Linked DNA regions of Mytilus edulis. The protein of the gene in region 2 interacts with the protein of the main gene of each other region in a pairwise test. Links are inferred from orthologs where the notes say so. Each region holds a gene or a part of one and is shown on either strand. Other genes may lie near its edges.

Evidence for each region.
Region 1: the proteins of PCI domain-containing protein 2-like (region 2) and nuclear migration protein nudC-like interact in binary tests that used the Drosophila melanogaster proteins (3 or more experiments, as listed by UniProt). The link is inferred for Mytilus edulis from reciprocal best matches to the Drosophila melanogaster genes PCID2 and nudC.

Annotation. Positions count from the first base shown.
Region 1 is NC_092353.1:36,783,141-36,794,474, reverse strand, and holds the start of nuclear migration protein nudC-like, read right to left. Parts: upstream 4,826-11,334; 5' UTR 4,665-4,825; coding exon 4,593-4,664; intron 2,379-4,592; coding exon 2,301-2,378; intron 1,482-2,300; coding exon 1,266-1,481; intron 779-1,265; coding exon 704-778; intron 1-703. Other genes in the region: uncharacterized protein, read left to right, coding at 4,887-4,966, 7,954-8,636, 10,409-10,553. UniProt on the Drosophila melanogaster protein: Chaperone protein with functions in nuclear localization and cytoplasmic mRNA trafficking.
Region 2 is NC_092346.1:45,878,531-45,890,029, forward strand, and holds the start of PCI domain-containing protein 2-like, read right to left. Parts: upstream 4,592-11,499; 5' UTR 4,495-4,591; coding exon 4,459-4,494; intron 1,836-4,458; coding exon 1,794-1,835; intron 544-1,793; coding exon 422-543; intron 36-421; coding exon 1-35. Other genes in the region: trafficking protein particle complex subunit 14-like, read left to right, coding at 4,836-5,168, 8,573-8,792, 9,278-9,364, 10,322-10,433. UniProt on the Drosophila melanogaster protein: Required for the export of nuclear mRNAs and involved in mRNA trafficking in the cytoplasm.

The DNA.
Region 1 (11,334 bases), on a different chromosome or scaffold from region 2:
AAAGTCAAGAAAACTATACGCATGCGCATAATTTCCAAATCAAACCCTGGGGCAAGATATATTAAATGCTTATTAAACGACCTAGATGGTTCTCAATTTCTTTATGGGAGTACAATCTCAAATATCAGTTTCATAACGGTAACATATAAGAAAAACTCCACTTCAGTTCTTATATGACAGAAATAGATTTATCAGCATTCAGAGAACTCTCGCATTTTATCAAAACTGGGAATTCCCTCTGACGTGTTTCTAAATTTATAACAATACTAAATATAAATTCTGATTTTCCGTGTTGTTTAAAACACGCATCGAAGTCGAGGGAATTATCAAACATGAAGATTATGAAAAGAACATTATAGGAAAGTTGTTCAAGTTCAATCCCTTTGTTTGTTTTTACCTTTTAAAGCAAGACAATCATAAGAATCTGAGATGTTCCTTAATGTTTAGAATAAAACGATTGACGTGAGGGAAATTGCTCTGAGCCACCGGTATAAGTCTACAAATTGCTTGAAAGCAATCGTATCCCAAAAAATGTTGGCAAATACCTTCCCTCTATTTTTCATCAGTATTACTGGTGTCATATCATCTTTTATGTTTGGTATAAATTAAGCATCATATTGTAACTTTTTTTTGCATACATGATCTAATTTATAGCACTATAATGAACACGCCTGAAAATAGATGGCAGGAGTCTTAATCTAACCTTTTTCTCTTCCTCTTTTGTTTCTTCTTTCTTATCTTCCTCAACAGGTTTTTCTTCTTTTTTATCATCTTTTTTCTGTTAAACAATTGAAAAAATAAAATTAAGAGCTTGCTATAAATCTTACTGAAGAGTTTAATATATTAGGTCTTAGATAAAATATTTACTTAAGAATATGCCAAAGAATATTAAAGCGAAGTAAAAATTAAAAAAAAAAAACAGTGAACTAGAGATTAAAATCATAAGATTGAATTCTAGTGTGAAAAATCCATTAAAATTTCAGTATACATGTAATACTGTGGATTTATTATTATTTTTAGGATACCAATTTTTGTGGATTTTGTTTGTAAAGGGTAAACATGGTAAAGGAGTCATTTAAATATTCAACAAAATACCATTTTTTTCTATACTCTAGATCTAGTTTGCAGACTTTGGGAAAGCCACAAAATCATATGTAAATATATTTCTAGATCCACAAAAAACTGGTACCAAAGAAAACAGATTGAATCCTCAGAACCATCATTGAGCCCTTTAATAAACCATTATCAAAGACCACACTAAGCACCTGTTCTATTTCTTGTTGTATTTTTTCAGCTTCTTCGTCTGTAATTTCTTTAATTTTGGGCTCTTCTTCCATTTTCTTTCTCTCTTCTTCTTCCTTTTGTTTTTTCTTGGCAATTCTATCTTTCCTCTTTTGTTCCTCTTCATCTTTTTCCTTCTTTATCTCTGCCATTTTTTGTTCTGCCATATCTTGGTAACGTTTAAATGCATTCATAATCATCTGAAAAAAAGTCAAGACTTAAATCTGAAAGCATGTGTATTCCATTTTAAGAAAAATATTTCAAGAAAAAGAATTGTGTAAAACAACTTATGCTACATACTGTATCATGTATAAGAACGGCGTGAGCCAAGGCTCCCTGTTGAAAACCATACATTGACCTATAATGGTTTATTTATATTAAGACATAAATTTAATTATACTAACACAATTATGGTAAGACTTCCTTTTGAATTCTCCTGCATATATACAATGTATATGCCTATTCTATCAACAGAAGGGGGTTCAAAGGGAAATCTTTCCCAAATAACTACTCTTACTCACTGTAGCATTTGTGTTAACTAAAACAAGCTGTCCTAATTAATGTCAGATCTATATTGTAATATGATCTGAAGGCAAACCTTGGTTTAATGTAGGACATCCACTGAGGCAATTTTTTTGGCAATTTTCAAGGAGTAAAAAGCTCACAAAATGAGTCCCAGTAACAAAAATTGACATTTTGAAGCAGAAAACTGTCATATCCACATTTAAATTATTTCGTGAGAATTTGATCACCTTTGAATTGCCCATGGTATTTAATTTTCTCTGCTGTGTTTACTCTTGTTTGTCTTTGTGTCCTTTTCTTTCTTTTGTCATGGCATTGTCAATTTGTTTTTCTACTTATGAGTTTTTAAAATATACCTATGGCATTTATTGTCTATTTTTTTCATGTTGTTTATCAATCCCAAATAAAACTTTCAGCAAAAATACATGGGAAGAATTTCATAATTAATTCCTTTCTATAATTAGAAAAAATAATTTATATGAAAAATCTAGTCTTACCTTTTCTCCATCTCCTCTCAATCCTCCTGTGTAAAAGTCTGTCTTTCTTAATAAGAAACTAAAGAAGGCACTTATCAACTGCAAAATATGAGAAAATCAATATGAATAATTATATATACACATATCTACATGAACAATATTACACACTTAACAATATTGTTCAAACAGTCAATGTTTCATGAATAGTTTTTGGAAAACTATGACAACTGCATGTTTGAGCTAAATCTGGTTTGAATAGTTTGACATTTGTAATTTTGGTAGGTGAATATGCATTATGAGTTATTCTCATTATTATATGGACATTAACTGTCGAATTCATGTTAACCAATTTTTCTCAAATTCTCAAATTTGATTTATAACATACATTTTTTTTTGTACTAAAACCTGGGAGCAGTATATCTAAAGAGAAACAAATCTGATAGGCTTTACAGTATAAAATTGATAAAATCTCACACTTTACTAGACTTTAAGAGATTTATTCAATGGTAGCATCCAACTGAAAAACTATTGGAAGTCCTCAATAGATTAACCACATAATTCTAATCGCAAATCAAAACAAGTTTTATCATAAAATAGATATCATTAGTCATATTATATTTTCTTGTTTTTCTTGCACGTGACATCACAAGATTCAATGTGGCTGAACAAAAAAGGCAGAGAATGTATACAAATGGGAATAATTAGATAATAGTTTTAAGGAAATGAATATTCAAACTTAAATAGGTACGTCATATCTTAAAAAAAAATATTCAACAAAACGAACTATATATAGGGACAAGCTTTGCATGGATTATAAACAATAAATTTTTGGGAAATACATTATACCGGAGGTGAGACATGAACCTGGGTCGCAATTCCGAACATTTTGAAATAGGAAAAATCAGAAGCTCTAAGGTCTGCAAATAGTCCAAAAATAACATGGGCACCTAAGAGCTACGGATTCACAGCTACATAATTGTGTATACCAGTATTGCGATCACCAACTACAGGAGATCCCAATTAACCATCAAGGTGACCTCGAAAGACAGCCAATCGTCATAAAAACCGATATTAATACTGATACTAAGTCATTTTACCCAACAAATTTTATGTTAGGTCTGCAATTTTGTGTAGGCATTATTTTCTCAGCAGAATTCGTACCCTGGTTTTGAGACATGTGTAAATATCTATAGCCTTACCGGACACAATTACGAACGATTTTTGAACTGTGATTAATATTTTTTTATGTAGACTACTTTTCTTGAATTGTTTATACCATAGAATTTTGTATGAAGGCTTTCCATTTTGCATCATATTCCACATAAATTTTTATTCACGTTAGGATACTTTAGCAAGATTTGCGTGACCTCGTTTTACGGGTCAGTGAGCCACATATGGACCCAATTCCGAACAGCACTATATTGATATATCTTGCAGAAGAAATCAATGACAAGAGTCTACATAGATAAAGCATACATTAATCTTTATCTCAAACACATTTTCATAGGAAAATAAGATGCACAAGTTTGTTTTTTAACTTCAAATACTTCAGCAGTGGTTGCAGACGAAATTTCGGTCATGTGTAAAGGAAAGATTTCTGATTTTTTTTGTTTTTATGTAAGTTCCTCCTTTAAAGGAGCACTAAATTCAAGTTTATCCATTTTGGTGGTGTACTTATCATTCATCTATGAATCTTTTTTATATAGGTCAACATTTCTTTCGGAGTTCTCTGCACTTTTCAATAAAATTAACATATTTTCTTTTGTCAGACCATAAAATTGGTCACAAGAGTCTAAAAAACGTCAATTGTGGGGTTATTAGGGCAAGATAAAAGGCATCACGCATATGAACGGAATCAGGAGATATTTTTCTTTCAATATATTAACAATAAAAGGCAATATGCACTTACCTTTATTTTTTTTTATATAACTTGCAGGCCAGATTGCCGTTCTTATAATATTTTCAGAATGATTTTGTCATCGTCATCAACATTCACCGAGTGCACATAAATTGTATTATCATTAAAACAAGGGAATTTTAATAGGGTTTTTATTTATAAAAACATTTATTGATAAATATAAATAAATATGATCTAAGAGGGCAAACATTGGAAATCGTTCGTAATTGTGTCCAGTCGTAATTGCGTCCTGTGGGGCTATATATATATGTACGTCGTTTAAAGAGAAAGAGAGAGAGAAAAGGGGAGGGGGTGATAGATAGCCAGGCAGAACATTCTAGACCATTTGGGATCTCTACTTCCAAGCACAACTTTCTTCATGTTACCCAATATTTGTGTGAAATGAATTAAAGTACCTCCTGTATTCCACCATCACACTGCTGAGCCATAGCAAGCAACATGCCATCAAATCTTTGGGGGTCTGCCATTGTTTTATTTGTCTGGTAAGTGTGTTTCGTAGGTCTTCTTTCGCTTTCAAAATCGTTGAACGGAAATGTGCATGTCCACACCGGAGATCAAGGTGCGCTTGAAACTTGTATGTTCGTTCAAAAATCAATTTCTTAGAGCGGTTCAGAGATTCAGATGCACTGCTTTGCTCTTCGCATGCGTCGTATCCAACTATCTACTTCCGTAAACAAAAGAATTTCAGCATGCGGGAATTTACAAGAAGCCAACAATTCCTTAACCCCGATGAAGATTTTGTTTTACATGGACAGAGAGCTTCATACAGGTCTTTTTAAAAATTAAACTGAATATACGTTCTCAGCAGTAGTAGACAATATTCTTTAATGCATAATAAATTAAGGGTTAACAAGCACCTGACAAGTGGAGATAACTCAAAACATTCAAGTATCAAAACAATCGCTACCAGTCTTGACAGGACTTTTACTGTTATTGTCATACTGGTTTGGTTTGATACTTCTACATCCCAAGTAGACATAACTTCAAATAAACCATTCCGAATCATTGACAATGTTTGATTTATGCCTTTGTCCAATTCTTTTGGGTCATAAATCTGTACAAAACATCATTATCATGAGAATATCTCAGATCTGCAGTGACATCACAACATGTAACTGACCAATCAATGATTAGCATTTGTGTTATGTAAACAATGTTGAGAGGTGATGCGGCTAAGAATCCTCTAGATTTTCCATAGACTTCAATGCAAATTAATTTAATTGATATATATTGACAACAGTTGAATCTAGTATCCGCAAATATCAAAAATCATCAAAAGGACCTTAAGAGCTACGTTTTCGCAGCTATGTACTAATGAACTCAAATCGTTCAATTTTTTTTGTCGTGTTTTGAAATCCCGGACCTGCGCAGAAATGTACAATGTACTTCCTTTTTCTGGTCTCGTTTGTATGAAACTTTGAGTAAAATATATATTTATCAGTCTAGTATAAAATAGGAAGGAACGCGCAATACTAATTTCATTTTTAATAATTCCTTGTTATGAAAAAACGTTACCTGATGATAGCGTTTCTTTGTTTACATTGCATATGACGTCATAATTTAAATAACGTCACAACTAAATCCCTAACAACAGAACCCCAATAACAGTAGAAAATTCAATAAAAAAAAAAAAAAAAAAAAAAAAAAATCAGGAAATTGTACTAATGAACTCAAAATCGTTCAATTTTTTTTTGTCGAATTTTTGAATTTCCGGTTCTGCACAGAAATCTACTTCCGTTTCCGGTCTTGTTTGCATGAGACTTTGTAAAATGTATATTTATCAGTCGAAGAAAGGATTCATTTTTAAAAATTGTTTGTTATAAAAAAAAAAAAAAAAAAAACGTTACATGATGATAGCTTTTCTTTGTTTACATTGAATATGACGTCATAACTTTAATAACGTCACAACTAAAATCCCTAACAACAGAACCAAAATCAGAAACATAACGTTCTTTGTTTACATTGAATATGACATTATAACATCACAACTAAATCCTTAACAACAGAACCAAAATCGGAAACGTTACGGTATTTTCGTTTCTCTTTTTAACATTCATAAAAAAAAAATCATACGGACTTCGTCTCCATTCTCAGGTTATGCCTGCCTCATATTATTATCACATATTTGTGACTTTTGAACATTAATTATTAAATAGTAATGTATCATCGATGTATTTTATAACTTAAAAATGATTTACAAAAAGCAGATAAGTTCATAAAGAAAATTTTAAATTTAGTGTGTACATCGAACATGGCGGCCATTGTGATTTCTGTGGTCGCCATATTCGATGTACACACTAAATTTTAAAAGTTTTTTATGAACTTATCTGCTTTCTGTAAATCATTTATAAGTTATAAAATACATCGATAATATACTATTAATTAATAATCAATGTTTAAAAGTCACCAATATGTGCTAATATTGAAATCACAAGTGTTATTCGGGAATTACAAGTGTTATTCTGATATTAACAGTGTTATTCGGTCATTCGAGGTACCGGCGGTAGGGGTACATGTACCATGATTTTCATAGGATAGCAAGAACTAATCAAATTTCCAAGGACTGATTGTTTTCACCTGAAAACTTGATTTGACATGGTGTTATATACATGTACATACTATATGGTCGTTTATACTCAATAAAATTACAAGTTAGAAAATTGATTTTATATCTTGTACAAAATGTATACAAATTAGGTTGTCTACCTTTTGAAAAATTACGTCCACAAGACATGGTAATCGATTGCCTGAAGTTAAATGCACTTTGATTGATTAAACACAGCTATCTTAAAACTTTTAATATTATTTTAAGTAGTATACAGTACGAGTAGAGACTTATTTTTATGGATGTCTTAATCCGTTTAGTCGGATATGAATAATCCGACCATTTTATGGTAGGTAGTATGTAACACCTTGTAAAATCAAGTTTTTCCTGACAAATCAATCGGTTCTTGACCTTAGGAAATTATTTCTTGATGTCCTGGGAAAATCATGGCACCGAAGTGTTGGTGCCTTACATGTAATTAAGCAAGGAATCCTTCAAAGTCTTTTATACTGGTTCCTGGAATTCCCCCAAACCCCTCCTAAAAATTTTGGATCTGACCTACATGTATTCTACTGTGATAGGATTGCTTTCATTAACATATATATAAAGATGTATGTAGAAGTCGATGATACTTAGTTCATGATTAACCATGTGGTCATATTTAGCCGTTTTACATTTAAACATAACATAATTACATCATCAGAAAAAATTGGTTTCATTTTAAGTCAAATTTTTATAAAAATAAAATAAAGTTTGGCTCAAACTGAAAAATATTTGTAGTACATGTATAAAAATCCTTCATGTATCAAAAATAAGCTTTAGAAAGCATGTGGAAAAGAACAATTGTCAAAACACACATTTCATTACATAATAGTTATTGAAAAACTGGTCATTATCGTGATATATTGACGTCCCTTTAAGGACAGTGGTATTGACTAAGACAGCGATGATTACTAAGCCGAAGAAAGAGTCAAACAATGCTGTTATTATTGACTAAAGTTACAAGCTGCACCATGCATGAAATGTGTATGTCCAAGATATTGGACTCTTGACAATAAAATGTAACATAATTTCGTGCCAAATAAAACACAAGTACAACAATCAATGGCCATATTATTGATCACTTTTAAAATACGTAAAAGTATACACTCTAATATTACATGTAACTGCCACCTGATAATTAAAGTTTTCTCTTTTATATGTCCTTTCAGTGAAAAGCCTTTAGGATTGAGGAACTCTCGAATTACAAACACAACATCACGATTAAGTCAACACATATTAGATCAGGAGGATAATTACCGCGACAGAAAATATGCAGAGTCACTAGGAGATCTTGCCAAAAGTTTGGAAAATACTAGCAAAAATGTAGACAGTACATTGCGAAGAAGTGTGACATTTTCTGGTCATCACTCGCCTTACAGTTTGAGTCACAAAACTCCTTTAGAAGAAGAATATGACAGAATTAGAGACAGGAAGCTGTTTACTGAATCTTTTGGAGGTCTTCCTGTTGATGATGGTAAGGAATTGTGGTATACAAAACCTGTTCACTTAAGCCGTCAGGAATATTCATTATCGCCACGATATGGAGCATCTTCAAGGTCAAGGTCACCTCAAAAGAATAGTGGAACGTTAGGTGCTGCTCTAGCCCTTCAAGATACAAGACAGCTTAATGATGATGAAAGAAATTATTCATTGAAATATAGGGATTCAAACGGATTGAAGTTTTTTCCTGTGACATTACAGGCCTCCTATGAACTTAGTGATTTAGACAGGAAGTTGGAAGAACTTGAAAACAAGCCACGACCTAGAACAGCAAAATCATATGTAAAGACTAGCTATGAGCCAAATAGTGTCAATTCTATGTACCTATTGGGTTCAGAGGCTCCTGCAACACGTAAGAATTAATCTTCTTTCTTTCTTTTAGTCTGTTTTTAGGCCACACCAATTTGATTCCTTGTTCGACGGACCCGCCCGCACCTATTTTTTTCAAAACAGAATATTTTTTTTTTTTTTTATATTCCCGCTTCCCGCATCCGGAAATGTAATCATGTCCATTCCCCGCACCGTTTTTTTTTGTAAATATTATAAAAAGATATCAACATTTGTTTTTAAAATAACAGTCTAACCTGTATATAACGATTTTAAACATAAAAGCACCCCACCACACTGTGTAAATATCTGTGAGAATATTTGTTTTAGCATGAAACCTATTTATCAAAAGTGAGAGTGCTCCGATGTAAATTTATAACAGCGGGAATACCTTTCAAGAACAAAAAAATGGTTTCTTTCCCCCTTACTAATATTCCCTATCAAAATATGTTCGTTGTTAGAATAAAGTACAAAGAACTTCTGAAGGATTTGCCTTCAACTGCAATTATATTGTATGCTGGCGAAACAAACTATCCATAGCCGCTGCATGTTTATGCAACCTGTCCTGATTGATTCAGGGGCCTGTCGTTCAGCAGTTATCATTTGTTGATGTGGTTCATTGGTATTTTCCGGTTCGGATATATAAATTAGATCGTTGGTTTTTTGAATTGTGTACGCTAATAATTTTTGACTCCCTTTTAGCTTGCTGTTTGGTCTGTATCAAAGCCCTGTGTAAAAGGCCGTACTTTGACCTGTGTTTGTTATTATCAGGTTGAGAACAAAGTGTCATTTTACTGATGTAGAAAAGAAAATAGAAATACCAAGGATTTGTATAGTTCTTCTATACAAAACCTTTGAAAACTTAGAATTTTGTACTCAAAAAGAGGAAAGTTAGTACATCATATGTTAAACAACTTTTTCTAAAAGAGGGGTCCACTTATTTTGAATAATATTAAACTGTTAAAGTAAATGTGTTAACATGGTTAAAGTCCAGGAATATTACAAAAATTCTTGGACATGTTTTGACCATTTAATACCAGATAGATATATAGTTCTTTGAGAAAATATGAGCCCTTTTGTACAAACAAATATATTATATTTTTATATATTGATCCCTCATAAAACATGTACGGTAAAAGGGATATTTATAACATTAAGGGGTTGCCCCAAAACTGATTATGACTTGGATTGAGAATTGTCTCATTGTCAGTTACACATACATAGACCAGATTTAATTATTTCTTGGTGAACAGGGCAAAAATACTTCAGAAATTAAAGATATGTCAAAGTACAAGTGATAAATCAAGTTTTAATATTGTCAAAACCTACTATTTTATGTTTACAAAAAAAAATTATAATTGCTCGCCTTTACTTTTCAAGCTTCGCCTCAAAAATTTTCAAATTAAATATTTTTTTATTAAAATTTTCAAATCGCTCGCTCGCCCCAAATTTTGGAGTCCAAAAATCGGTAGAACAAGAAATTAAATTGGTGTGGCCTTATCTACATGTACATCTAACTTTGGATGTAAATGTATACATTATTAACAAATTTGTTTCAATAGAAATAGCCACCCAGTCAGTCTACTAACTTCAAATGCACTCCATAAAATGAGAACTTATATTTTAGAAAAAAAAATAATTGCAATTCGTGAACAGAAGCTATTTACGAAATAATTCTTTCTTTTCCTGATAAATGACAATTTTAGCCCATTTTGTTTTAATAACAAAACAGTGCAGAATTATTCTTATAGAAATATTAAACTTTACATGTATATGACTACAAAATGTATGTTGTAGGCAAGTCATCACCATTATACACATCTCCATTTGTATCTGACTTGGCATCACTTAGAATGGAGAGACTACGCATTGAGGAAGATAGATACTTAGAACTGAAAAGATTACAAGAGCTGGAGAGACTGAGGGGACCACATAAAAAATGGTAAGCAATTAAATAAAATTAAAATGGTAAATGGGAAATGTTTCAAAGAGACATTAACCCTACCAAAGCAGAAAACAGTCAAAGGCCACCAAAGTCAATCAATGTACAGATTAAAAATGAGATTTGTAAAAACTTAAAGAGCAAAATAAGGTGATACATTGTGTACCATGGTATAAAATGGTTTCTCCCAATAAAGTACACTTTGATTTCATTTTTCTGAATTGAACACTCACTATCTTGATCCCTAACCAAGTTACAAAGATAAGATTTTTAGGGGTTATACATTTTGTATATTCAAGGCATTATTCAGAAATTCTTCATTTGTACATGTATGTCAGTGTTTTTATGAATATAAGAAACATATGATATCCAAGGTGATAGTCTTATAGTTTGTCAGTTGGGTACCAATTTTAAAAACAACTACATTGTACATGTAGTTCCTTTAAATGGATAATTTAGGATATTAATGATGAAAAATTCATATATTTGCCCCTACTTGCATAAAAAGTTAAAAAAAATCCAAAAAGAAAAAATTGGTATAATAATCACTATTGTACATAATATAATTAATTAATTGGTGATGTCAAAACATTGGTAGTTGAAATATTCATCAAAAAAATACGTTATACTGTTTTATTGTGAAACCAAACACGTTGATTGAATTTAATTTGGCTTGTTTAATTTTTATCAGATTTTGACAATGTTTTTTCATAAGTTTTTTGTAACTGAGAAACTTTAACCCTTTGACAAAAATATAAACATTTCAAAATACTTGAACCAC
Region 2 (11,499 bases):
CAATAAAATCATGATTTGAAACAGCCCAGCAACATCTGCAAAAATAAAATGAAAAATCTATCAAGAACTCTTGTCTTTTTGGTTTTTCTTGTTATGTAAATGACAGTATTTAGATATTCGTACATTGTAGTAAGTACTATGATTATAGACAATGTCATAAAAATATGTATATAATTATTTTTGAGGCCCTTTATAGCGTGCTGTTCAGTGTCAGCTAATGCTCAGTGTTGAAAGTACTGTCATGTATAAAAGATCTAACCGTAAATATAAATGCTACATATATACTTCAGGAATTAATTTTCATGGCAAAATCAAAATTTTTATGAGTACCTGTATTGATAAATTATATGTGTGTGTTTGTAACTTTGTTTGTTTTTAATTTGCTTTGTCCTTTACACTTCATATTTTTTTCTAGACTAACCTTAAATGAGCAGCAATCATTTCATCAAATGGACTATCAAAAACTCTCTGGACCTGAGATTCTGGATGCTCTACCTGTAGTCGAGGATTTTGAATATGTGGATGTTGGAATGACAGTAATTCCTGGAAAAAATGTCAAACAAAATATAATAAATTGATTGCATAATGGTTCATTCTGTTCATTGGTTAATTTTTCTTCATTATTTAGCTGTAGATTTTTAAAAACTTCTGATTGATTTTGGTACTTCACCATAAAAACTATGGGTACAGTACATTAACAAGTTCAATAAACAGCTGTGCCATGAGCGCATGATACACCCGTTATTTTATGCAATAATCATAAATTATAAGTTTCTGAGATACGGTGACATGTGAAATGAAAACACACCTTTTTTAACAAAAAACTTATTAACTCTTAAGTAAAATTTTGAATCATCACCAAAAAGTATACAGATCTTAAGATTATTATAACTAAGAAGTGTGTAAAGTTTTAAACAATAATCATATATTGTCTTTGAGATACAGCACGAAATGTGAAAACACATTTTTTTTAACAAAAAAACCCTCAATAACTCTTAAATAAAATCTTGAATCATCACCAAAAAGGAAACAGATCTTACGATTAATATAACTAAGAAGTGTGTAAAGTTTAAAGCTATAAGCATAAATTGTTTTTGAGATAGGGCGTGACATGTGAACCCTCCTTTTTTACAAAATACTCAATAACTGAAAAATGAAATTTTGTATCATCACCAAAAAGTATACAGATCTTAAGATTAATATAACTAAGAAGTGTGTAAAGTTTTAATCAATTATCATAAATTGTTTTTGAGATACGGCGGGACATGGGAAAAAACACACCCCTGTTTTATTTAGAAAGTCCGGTAACTCAAAAAGTTTTAATCTAATTTTCATCAAAAAGTATAGTATACAGATCATTTGACCATCATAAGAAACAACAATATCAAGTTTCATGAAATTGGGATAAGTCGTTCTCAAGTTACGGTGCAACATGTTTACGCCGGACAGACGGACGGACGCCGGACATTTGTATACCATAATATGTCCCGTCAAAATTTTGACAGGCGTATAAAAATTGACTAATTATTGATAACTTTAAATAATTTTTCTTCACATGCACACATGCAAAAACTAAAATGAAATTGAAAAGAAAAGAGTAATGAAAAACTTTAGCTAATGTGCAAAATAGGAAAAATACTTTTCTCATCTTGTCTAAATTTATTTATCAAAATCTATTTCACATTAACTTTTTTCATTTTCAACATGTTACATGTAAAAAAGGGACATATTCTGTTAACTATTGCTCAGAAATTGTTACAAAAATAGATTTACATCTAAAATCAATAACTTACTGCTGTTTTCAACCCATCTCTTTCTTGTAAGGCATCATCTAACTAAAAATAAAGATACTTTGTCATTATCTCTTATATTGAATATTCTAAGATGGTTACATATAAACTGTTTAACATTAGGCATGTTTGTGTAAAGCCAAAATTCTAAATAAATCTTTTCCAGCAACAAATCTTAATGTCATAAATGTGTGGTCACTAGAAGCAGTTGTGAGATAATCTATTGATCACTCTCTGATCCCTATTTTGAACCTTTTGTGTTTTCATTAGTTTTTCAATGCTTTGAAGCCAGGAATGAAGAACTATGAGGAAAAAAACCAACTGTATGGAAGCAAATTTAACTGACACTAGCATGACTAGCTATACAACTTATTAACATTTTTTTAAATATATGTAGAACATTTAAACATTTGGCAATTCATATGGGGACGAAGTCCCCTATTACAGTAGAAAAATCAATAAAAAATAAATCGGGAAAACCCTGAAATTTTCATTGTACTACTAAACTCAAAATCGTTCAAATTCTTTTTGTCCCTTTTTTTAATTCCCACATTTGCCCAGAATGCAGAAATCAACTTCCTTCTTCAGGTCTCGTTGTGTAGTCTAGTAAAATATTGGAACTCAAGGTACACAATACCAATATTTCATTTTTAATAATTCTTTGTCTTTGATATAAATGAACGTTACCTGATGCATTGCGTTTCTTTGTTTACATTGAACATGACGTCATAACTTAAATAACTCACAAGTAAAATCACTTACAACAGAACCAAAATCGGAAACGTTACAGTATTTACGTTTTTTTTTTTTTTTAACAAATATCTAAGTCACAAAAAAAATAATTCATACAGACTTCTTCCCCATTCACAGGTTATGCCTGCCTCATATTAACAGTCAGCTTACAGTGTCAGTTGTCAGTGATCATGGTGATGGTCAAGTAGTTTTTGTTCCATTTTTTAGAAAAAATTGTTGTCTTTTTGTTTAAGGTTCATCATAACAATTGGACAAATATGGCCGTATTTTCACCTCAAAAACTACTCTGTGTACAGACTTACCTGTGCTGTTTGGAAAGTTTTAATGCCTAGCATCCACTAGATATATAAAAGTTAAATGCATTTTGTGTTAAAGAAAGATAAAATCTTTTTTGGTTTTTGCTGGGCATTTTTTTCCTTTCTGCAGAAGGTGTAAAAATAAACAAACACCTGCATTACTTTGATACTGTCCACTCACTGACTCAGACGAACTCTTTATCTCAACTGCAGTTGTGAAGATACCTCTTGTCCATGCCAATTAAGAATCCGGGTCCGTCCGCCCTGATTCTGGTTCGCCCTAGTTTCTGTTCGCCCTAATACCTGTTCGCCTCGAGTCCGTTCGCCCTGATTTTATTTTTTAGTATAGTGTTGCGTTGTGTGTATATAATTGAATTTGGTGAAGTCAGTCTACAATTTGGTCGAATATTTACAATATTTTTAAATGTGAAACAACTGAAGACTTGTTGTCTTCAAGCTGCTACGAGGATAAGTTTCTGTGAATTCAAAGACTACAAAATATTTGACATAAAACAACTAAAGACTAAGTCTAAATTTAACTTTATTGATACATTTTAACAATATAAAAATATTCAGTAACAGTTATACAAGATCAATTCCGAACTGTACTTCGCACACCTTTATTTCCTAAACGAATATTTAAAAGCACTAATATGAATTACTATAAGTGAAACAAATACCAAAAACACAGTCACACTGCTGTACATTGATCACTTGTCATCAGTGTTTTTACCCATCCAAGCTGACTATTTTATTTGAGAAAAACGTTATTTTCATTATTAATCCATCAAAGACAATTCATATAACAATCAGTGATATCAAAGATTTCAAATGATACCTTATAATCAGCAATCAAAATTCAATCAACAGTAATTAAAAGTAATTATAAAATAAAGTGTAACAATGCAGCCAAGAACTTTATTTAATTAATATAAATTTGGCAAATATTCTGTATTTAACTTTTAATAGATATACATGAATTTCAATATATAAATATATATATATATTTCGTTCGTTAATGTAATATATACATATCATAAATAAAATGAATATAGGGCGAACGAACCCAGGGCGAACGGACTATCAGGGCTAACAGACTCAGTGCGAACGAACCTAGGGCGAACATGTAATCAGGACGAACAATCCCGATACCGCCAATTAAGGACAATCAAAACAATACAAACCGTTTTTTTACCTGAGGGAGCATCTCATAGTTGTACCACAACTTAGTCAATTTTCAGAACTTTTGCACGAAGGAAAAATCCAAAAGAGATTTTATCTTTCTGAAACACAAAATGCATTTAACTTTATTATATCTAGTTGATGCCAGGCATTAAAACTTTTCCAACTGCACAGGTAAGTCTGTACTCAGAGTAATTTTTGGCATGTAAATACAGCCATATTTGTCCGTTTGTTATGATGAACCTTAAATTGTTTAGCCATGTTTTTTATGTCTTGGACAACTTTGTCAGCACTTTGTCTTTCTTATATATTATATATCATGTATAATTTTTTACTCTTTCTTTTTTGTAAAAAAATTGTTTTCCAGTTTAAATATAAACAAGTATATTTTAAGGAGCAAAGTGATTTTTTTCATTTCCTATAAAACATAAACTTACTGTTTGAAAATACTGGTTCATTGACCAAGTTGCCATTTTCAATGGCCAATAAATGTTTACAGGGCTTAAAAATCAATGCAACCCATGTGAAAATTGAAACCGGAAGTTTTGATTTTACAAGGATAGTACTGAACAGATAGTATCCTCATACAGCTTCCCACGTCTTTGCGACCAATTTTGATAGTTGTTTTTGTGATACGGTGTTTTCTTTATGTATTCTTTATAAATAATTTAAAACTAGAAAAAGAAAATGAATCACAAATAACACAAATTTCAATTAATTGTATAGTCATAAATTAGACTTCCTGTCTCGGGAAAGGACTTCTTGATTGGTGCAATACCACTGTACTCTACGATTTTAGCAGACAGCACAGATCATGGAAGAAGATGCTGATCTTTCTAACATAATTTTGCATATATTTGAGAAGCAGAAACAAAATGGAAGTGATGTGCAATACAGTGACAAATTTAAGTGTGTAAATATTGGGAAAACGTATCTTGTTAATGTGATTGTTAATTTTCCTTCGTGTTTGAATGGGAACATTAATAAATGGAAAAAAAGAATTGAAAATCTTTATGGACACGTCAATTTCCACGTTGCAAAAAATATACCTAATATCGACGAAAATGAACTGTCTTACAATAAAAGTTACTTTTTGTGCAATGTGTTTAAAAGCACAGCTGACACAAAAACACATTTAAAACTACATGTAAGTTGATTTTCTAAAGTTGTAAGACCTACATGTATCAAAGAATCTTCAAATAAAATGGGCTGTCATATAAGTTTAATATCCAAAAACTTATTTGGACTAATTGGGAACAATTTCAAGTGTCTTATTGATTAGTATATATGTTCCAGACCGTATGAGTATTTGGACCGTACGCGTACGGTCTGGACTGTATGCGTACTTTTTCAAAATACGCATACGGTCGGACCGTACGGGTACGGTCTGACAGATATTAAGAAGTTGGTCAAGCTTATTAGATACAAATGTATATAACAGATCAACATGACTTATATCTCCAATTAATATAAAAAGTTCAACAGCATTTGACATAAAAACTTAATATTTTAACTATTTAAAAAGATCACGCTTATTTAATCTGTTAATCTCCTGTATTTTGCAGGCCAGTTATTCATTAATTGCAGCTCAGTATGCTCATTGAAATTGAAGATATCGGAAGTAAACATAATGTGGGAGGACAATTGTTTTAGAATATTTATGAACTTTACAAAAGAAATGCATACGCAAAGGAACATGCATTAACAAAACATGTAAATGTAAAAAATACGAAGTTCTTATTAGAAGCAAGTGTCACCTTCGGCCAGAGTAACAAAATATAATTCACGGATATACAATTAAGCAAATATTTAATTTCAATTGTTCGCTTATTCACTTTATCATCGGCCAGCTATTTTGTAATAATAACAATTTGTATAACTAAAAATAAAGATTTTGATAAATGTTTGTTTAAATTTAACCCACATGATCCCAAAACGTATGATCAGCTGGACCGTACGCGTATACTCATACGGTCCGACCGTACGCGTATGGTCGGACCGTACGAGTATACATATACGGTCCGGACCGTACGCGTACGGTCCAAATACTCATATGGTCTGGAACATATACAAAATGACAAACAACTTTAAGATGCAAAAATTTAGGTATCAGTGATTGTTTTTCAGAAAATAGTGATTTTCAGAGACAGAGGTTACAATCTCACAAATTATTCAAGTTCTGGATAAGTCTTTTGCAACTTTTTATTCATAGAGAAATACAAATTAATTTTTTCAATGAAATCTAATATTTCATGTATTTGGAATTATGCATCTTTTTAAAGAACAAATCTTTCCAGGTTTCACATTGTGTTTATTTATGCAAACAAGACCGGAAACGGAAGTAGATCTGAAAAAAAAAGTTAACGATTTTGAGTTCATTAGTAGTATAAAAAATTCGGGAAATATTCCCGAATTTTAGATTTTTTATAAATTTTTATTGATTTTTCTACCGTAATTGGGGACTTCGTCTCCATATAATGGTTATATTTATTAACATATTTTATATTCATTTGGTAAATACAATTAATTATATAAAAAATAGTCTTTGTCTGGATCCTTAATATAGTTTGTATCAAAAACAAGAAGTTTTGTTAAAAGTATTATTAACCAACTAAGTGCATTATTGCCAAAAGTGACTGTTTATTAAAAATTACATATTTTCTGTAATGGCCCTGTTTTTTTCTGTAATGGCCCTGTTTTTCTGTAATGGCCCTGTTTTTTCTGTAATGGCCCTGTTTTTCTGTAATGGCCCTGTTTTTTCTGTAATGGCCCTGTTTTTCTGTAATGGCCCTGTTTTGTCTGTAATGGCCCTGTTTTTCTGTAATGGCCCTGTATTAATGCCCAGTTTGTCTGTATTAAGCCCTGTTAGGGTTTTTAATAAAGTTAATAAAACTAAGTTGTAAAGAGTATAATACCTTTTTGTATTTTATTCAATTTAGTAACCAGCAACCAACATTAAAAAACCATATAAAGGGATCACTGTTCATCCTGTTTTTTAACACATATCTCTTTCAACTTAATATCTTGGATATTTGGTACATTTAAAGCTTTATAATGGTGAAGTACAAATTATTTTGTTCAAACTAAATTGTCATTAAAAGAGTAAGACAGTACATCAAGTTAGCACAAACACATACACTTTTGATCAGTTGGTTAATAAATGTATTAAGAAATGAGTGTTTTTATAATGGCCCTGTTATATGTCCTCGGTCAGTAATAATTGCCTCGGATGTCTGTAATAGCCCTCGGCGTTGCCTCGGGCCATTACAGACTTCCTCAACCATTATTACAGACCTTGGACATATAACAGGGCTATTATAAAAACACCCATTCATTAATACTATAATAATCTATGGCTTAAAGAAACACATTAGAGAAAACTCAAGATTGATCAGAAAGAAACATAAAAAAAACTTTGTTATTTTGGTAAAAGTGTTAGCTCCTGCTGCACTAGTTGCCTTTTCCATGTTGCTCAGATAAATTCAGCTACTTTAGTCAATAATATGAGGCAGGCATTACCTGTAAATGGGGACGAAGTCTGTATGAATTATTTTTTTGTAACTTAAATATTTGTTTTAAAAAAAAGAAACGGAAATACCGTAACGTTTCCGATTTTGGTTCTGTTGTTAGGGATTTAGTTGTGACGTTATTTAAATTATGACGTCATATGCAATGTAAACAAAGAAACGCTATCATCAGGTAACGTTTTTTCATATCAAGGAATTATTAAAAATGAAATTGGTATTGCGCGTTCCTTCCTATTTTATACTAGACTAATAAATATATATTTTACTCAAAGTTTCATACAAACGAGACTGGAAAAAGGAAGTACATTGTACATTTCTGCGCAGGTCCGGGATTTCAAAACATGACAAAAAAAATTTGAACGATTTTGAGTTCATTAGTACAATGAAAAATTCGGGAAATTTTCCCGTATTTTTTTTTATTGAATTTTCTACTGTTATTGGGGACTCTGTCCCCATATAAACATTCATGGACTGGCTCCAACCATCAATATAGGTGTTTTCTATGGAAATCATTAGGGAATGTTATAAAATGATTGATTGTCATTTGATAAGTGTCCAGTGGTATTGTTAAAAAATGTATTAAAGAAGTAAATACTAGAATTCCTCATGAATTCCGAACAAATTACCAAAGTTTATATAGATCTATTATCAGTGATTTTATGTTGTGTAGTTGCTTTCTTATTCATGTTATTGAAGCTTTAAAATACCATACATGCGTTGTGAATTTTCCTTCATTTTTGGGAGAAAAAATATATATTAAAAGAAAATGTGGAAAACATACAATTAATGTACATAATGTGATATTTTATACAAAATATCAAGCACATGTTCAAATGTGTATATGTCATGTATGTGTCTTGTGAAGAATGAAGATAGATATATAAATTACACATTTCAACCAAAACCACTATTGCTGCATTGTAATTTTGAGCTATTGACCTTGATCAATGTTAAATGCAGTTAAAAACACATGCTAATGTGAGTTATTTTGAACTCACTTTACTTTATTGTTTTCTAATTTCAGGAGAAGAAGCCTTATTTTGTTGATGACAAAACATTTATTGTTCCATTGGAAGCAACAGTAAATAATATTTCATCGTGCGATACAAAAATTTATTTGACAGTGTCCATTGTCAAGCCAATACCTTGCCCAAAGAGAATGTTAGGAGAAAGTGATTTCTTGTTGAAGGTTGATGACATTAAACCTTTACCAGAGAAAGAAAAGATTTATACTCAAAAGTCAGGTATTTGATTTTTAATAATAATACTTTATTTAAAAGCAAAACAGGCTAAAGATTAAACATTTTTACATTAGATTTTCAATGCATCAGCGTCATATTAATTACAACAGTTACATACACATATATGGTACAATAATCAAATGATCTCACAAAAATAATTTTTAAGCACACAACGTTTCCATTAGCCATCTATAGGAACAAAAGACAAACTATCATTGTATCCTTATCATAAAAAAGATACATACATTATATATACAACATTGTTTGTACACTGAAATACATGCATAAAAAGAAAAAGAAAACAATGTATGAAATTACAAAATAAACCACAAAACTCCTTGAATTATGTCCAGTGGCAGATAATTAATGCATATTCAGGATTAAAACAAAATAATAAAAACAGAAAATGGATTTTGCAATGTTGGTGGAAAAGGAATATTTAATTCAGATTTGAAAATGTTTTAATTTATGTTTTGTTTCCAATTTAGTCTCAAGAACTTTACGTATTCACCAGCCACCAAAACTTCAAGTGAAGTACAAAGATGTTTCTGGACAATTTATGATTTTTCTCAGTGGTAAGTGAAGACAAAAATGACACAGAAATTAACAATTATAGGTCAATGTATTGTCTTCAACAATGAGCAAAGCCAATATCATAAAGTCAGCTATGAAGACCTTGAAATGACAAATGTAAAATAATTCAAACAAGAAAATTAACAGCCTAATTTATAAACAAAATAATGAATGAAAAACAAATATGTAACACAGCAACAAAAGACAACCACTGAATTACTTGCACATACAGAATATGGTGGGGTTAAACATGTTTTGAAATGTAATAGAATAAAAATCATGATACTGTAGCCCATTTGTGTGTAAAGTGCACAAAATTGTCCAAAACAAATATTTTTCATAAAAAATCATTTTTTTTCATTGTTGGTTTTATACAAAAGCAAAGATGAGGCCAGTAATGGTCCCTTGTAAATTAAAGACTTAAGAACATTAGTGACTGATTTTAGTTGTATACTTTACAAACATTAACTTTTCTTATCATGTTTAAGCAAAATAAAAAGGTTACAACTTTTTTTTCTAATTCTAAAGCTATATTGATTTTTCTTGCAAATCTGACTATACCTATGGCATGACTCTGAACTGCTTCTTGACATTAGAATAATAACACAGTGAAAATGTTAACACTTTTTAAGGTGACAAATTCAAACAACATAAACATACAATAACTGTTATAATGTCATTATAAAGACAGTTGTTGAAAAGCCTTCATTGTAAAGGTATCACATTATTATGAATATGAATAACATGAGATAAGTGACAGCAATCCAATGCAGAAGTTCATAAAAATTTTTGAATCTATCAATTCACTAATATAATGAACATTTCAGAAGTTAAAGTAGTAAAAAAACATGTTTGCAAAAATGTTAGAAATATAGAACTGTATAGTTATCTTATTTTCAGGAATAGATTTGATATTTAAATTGTTTGTAAGGATTTGTTTATTTATTTATTAATTTCAGTAAATAATGATAGTTTACAAGACATAGCCATAAACGACTGTATGTTGATGAAAGGACATTGTCCTGCTTGTGACAAGACTATCAATAAACACAGAGATGTCCAGAATGATATGTAAGTCTTCTACAGGTTCATTGGTAGGTTGGTACATTGGTACGTTGGATAATTTGATATAATTCCTAATCAGTTGAGTCAGCTTTCATTTTACCTTATTCATTGTGTATCTTGTTATCTTTGAACCAACATTTAATATTATTTTTTTGCAGTAGTTTTAAAGATTTATAAAGCATCATAATGAAGAGATATTTTGTTGCTTAGATTTTTAGCAATTTATGATGTGTATTTAAAAAATAAAAAATATATGTTGATGCAAGATGGCTTCAGTTAACTTTGTCTCTACTCTACTCTGCTAAGAATAGGCCCTGCTATACAACAGTAATAATACTCAGATACTTAGATATGTTATTCAGAAAGAAAAAGGCAACTTTTTCAACCCTTTGAATTTTATTCTCATTTCAAGTTTTTAGATTTAAGCTTGAGTCTATTGAAGAAATCAAGATTTTCTTTTTACAATTATTTGCTTAAATGATTTTCAGTAAAACCATGTTTCAGTACAGCTTTCTTTTGCAGATGTTGAAAATCACCAAATGTAAATAAAATATAAGTAATTACACATATGCACATTTATGTAAAAAGTATACATCAGTACATGCATATATATCTATACCCTTTGTATTCTTTCATTAAGGGCTATTCCAGAAAAAAATGTATGGGGGGGTTGGAAGGCAGTTTTTGTCAGCACCAGCCACCCAGACAATTGTAATTGAGAATTATAGTGCATTATAGTGTGAAAAGTTAGTCTGATACCCACCACCCATGTATTATTAATATAATGTGCCTTCCACCCCCCCACCCCACCCCCCCTACATTTTTTTCTGGAATAGCCCTAATGTATATAAGTTTCACAGTAGAAATAAAGGATCATTTTAATAGAATGTGTTAGCTCTAATAATGCTTTTATCTTGTCACTACAAATCTTTGGTAACTCAAAGGAACTATTCCAAATAATATTATATGCACCACAGGGTCAAATTTGGGTTGTTGTCTACAGTGCAATGACAGTGTATTACCATTCTTACTGATACATTTTGATCTTCTATTGAAATTTTGAGTCAACATG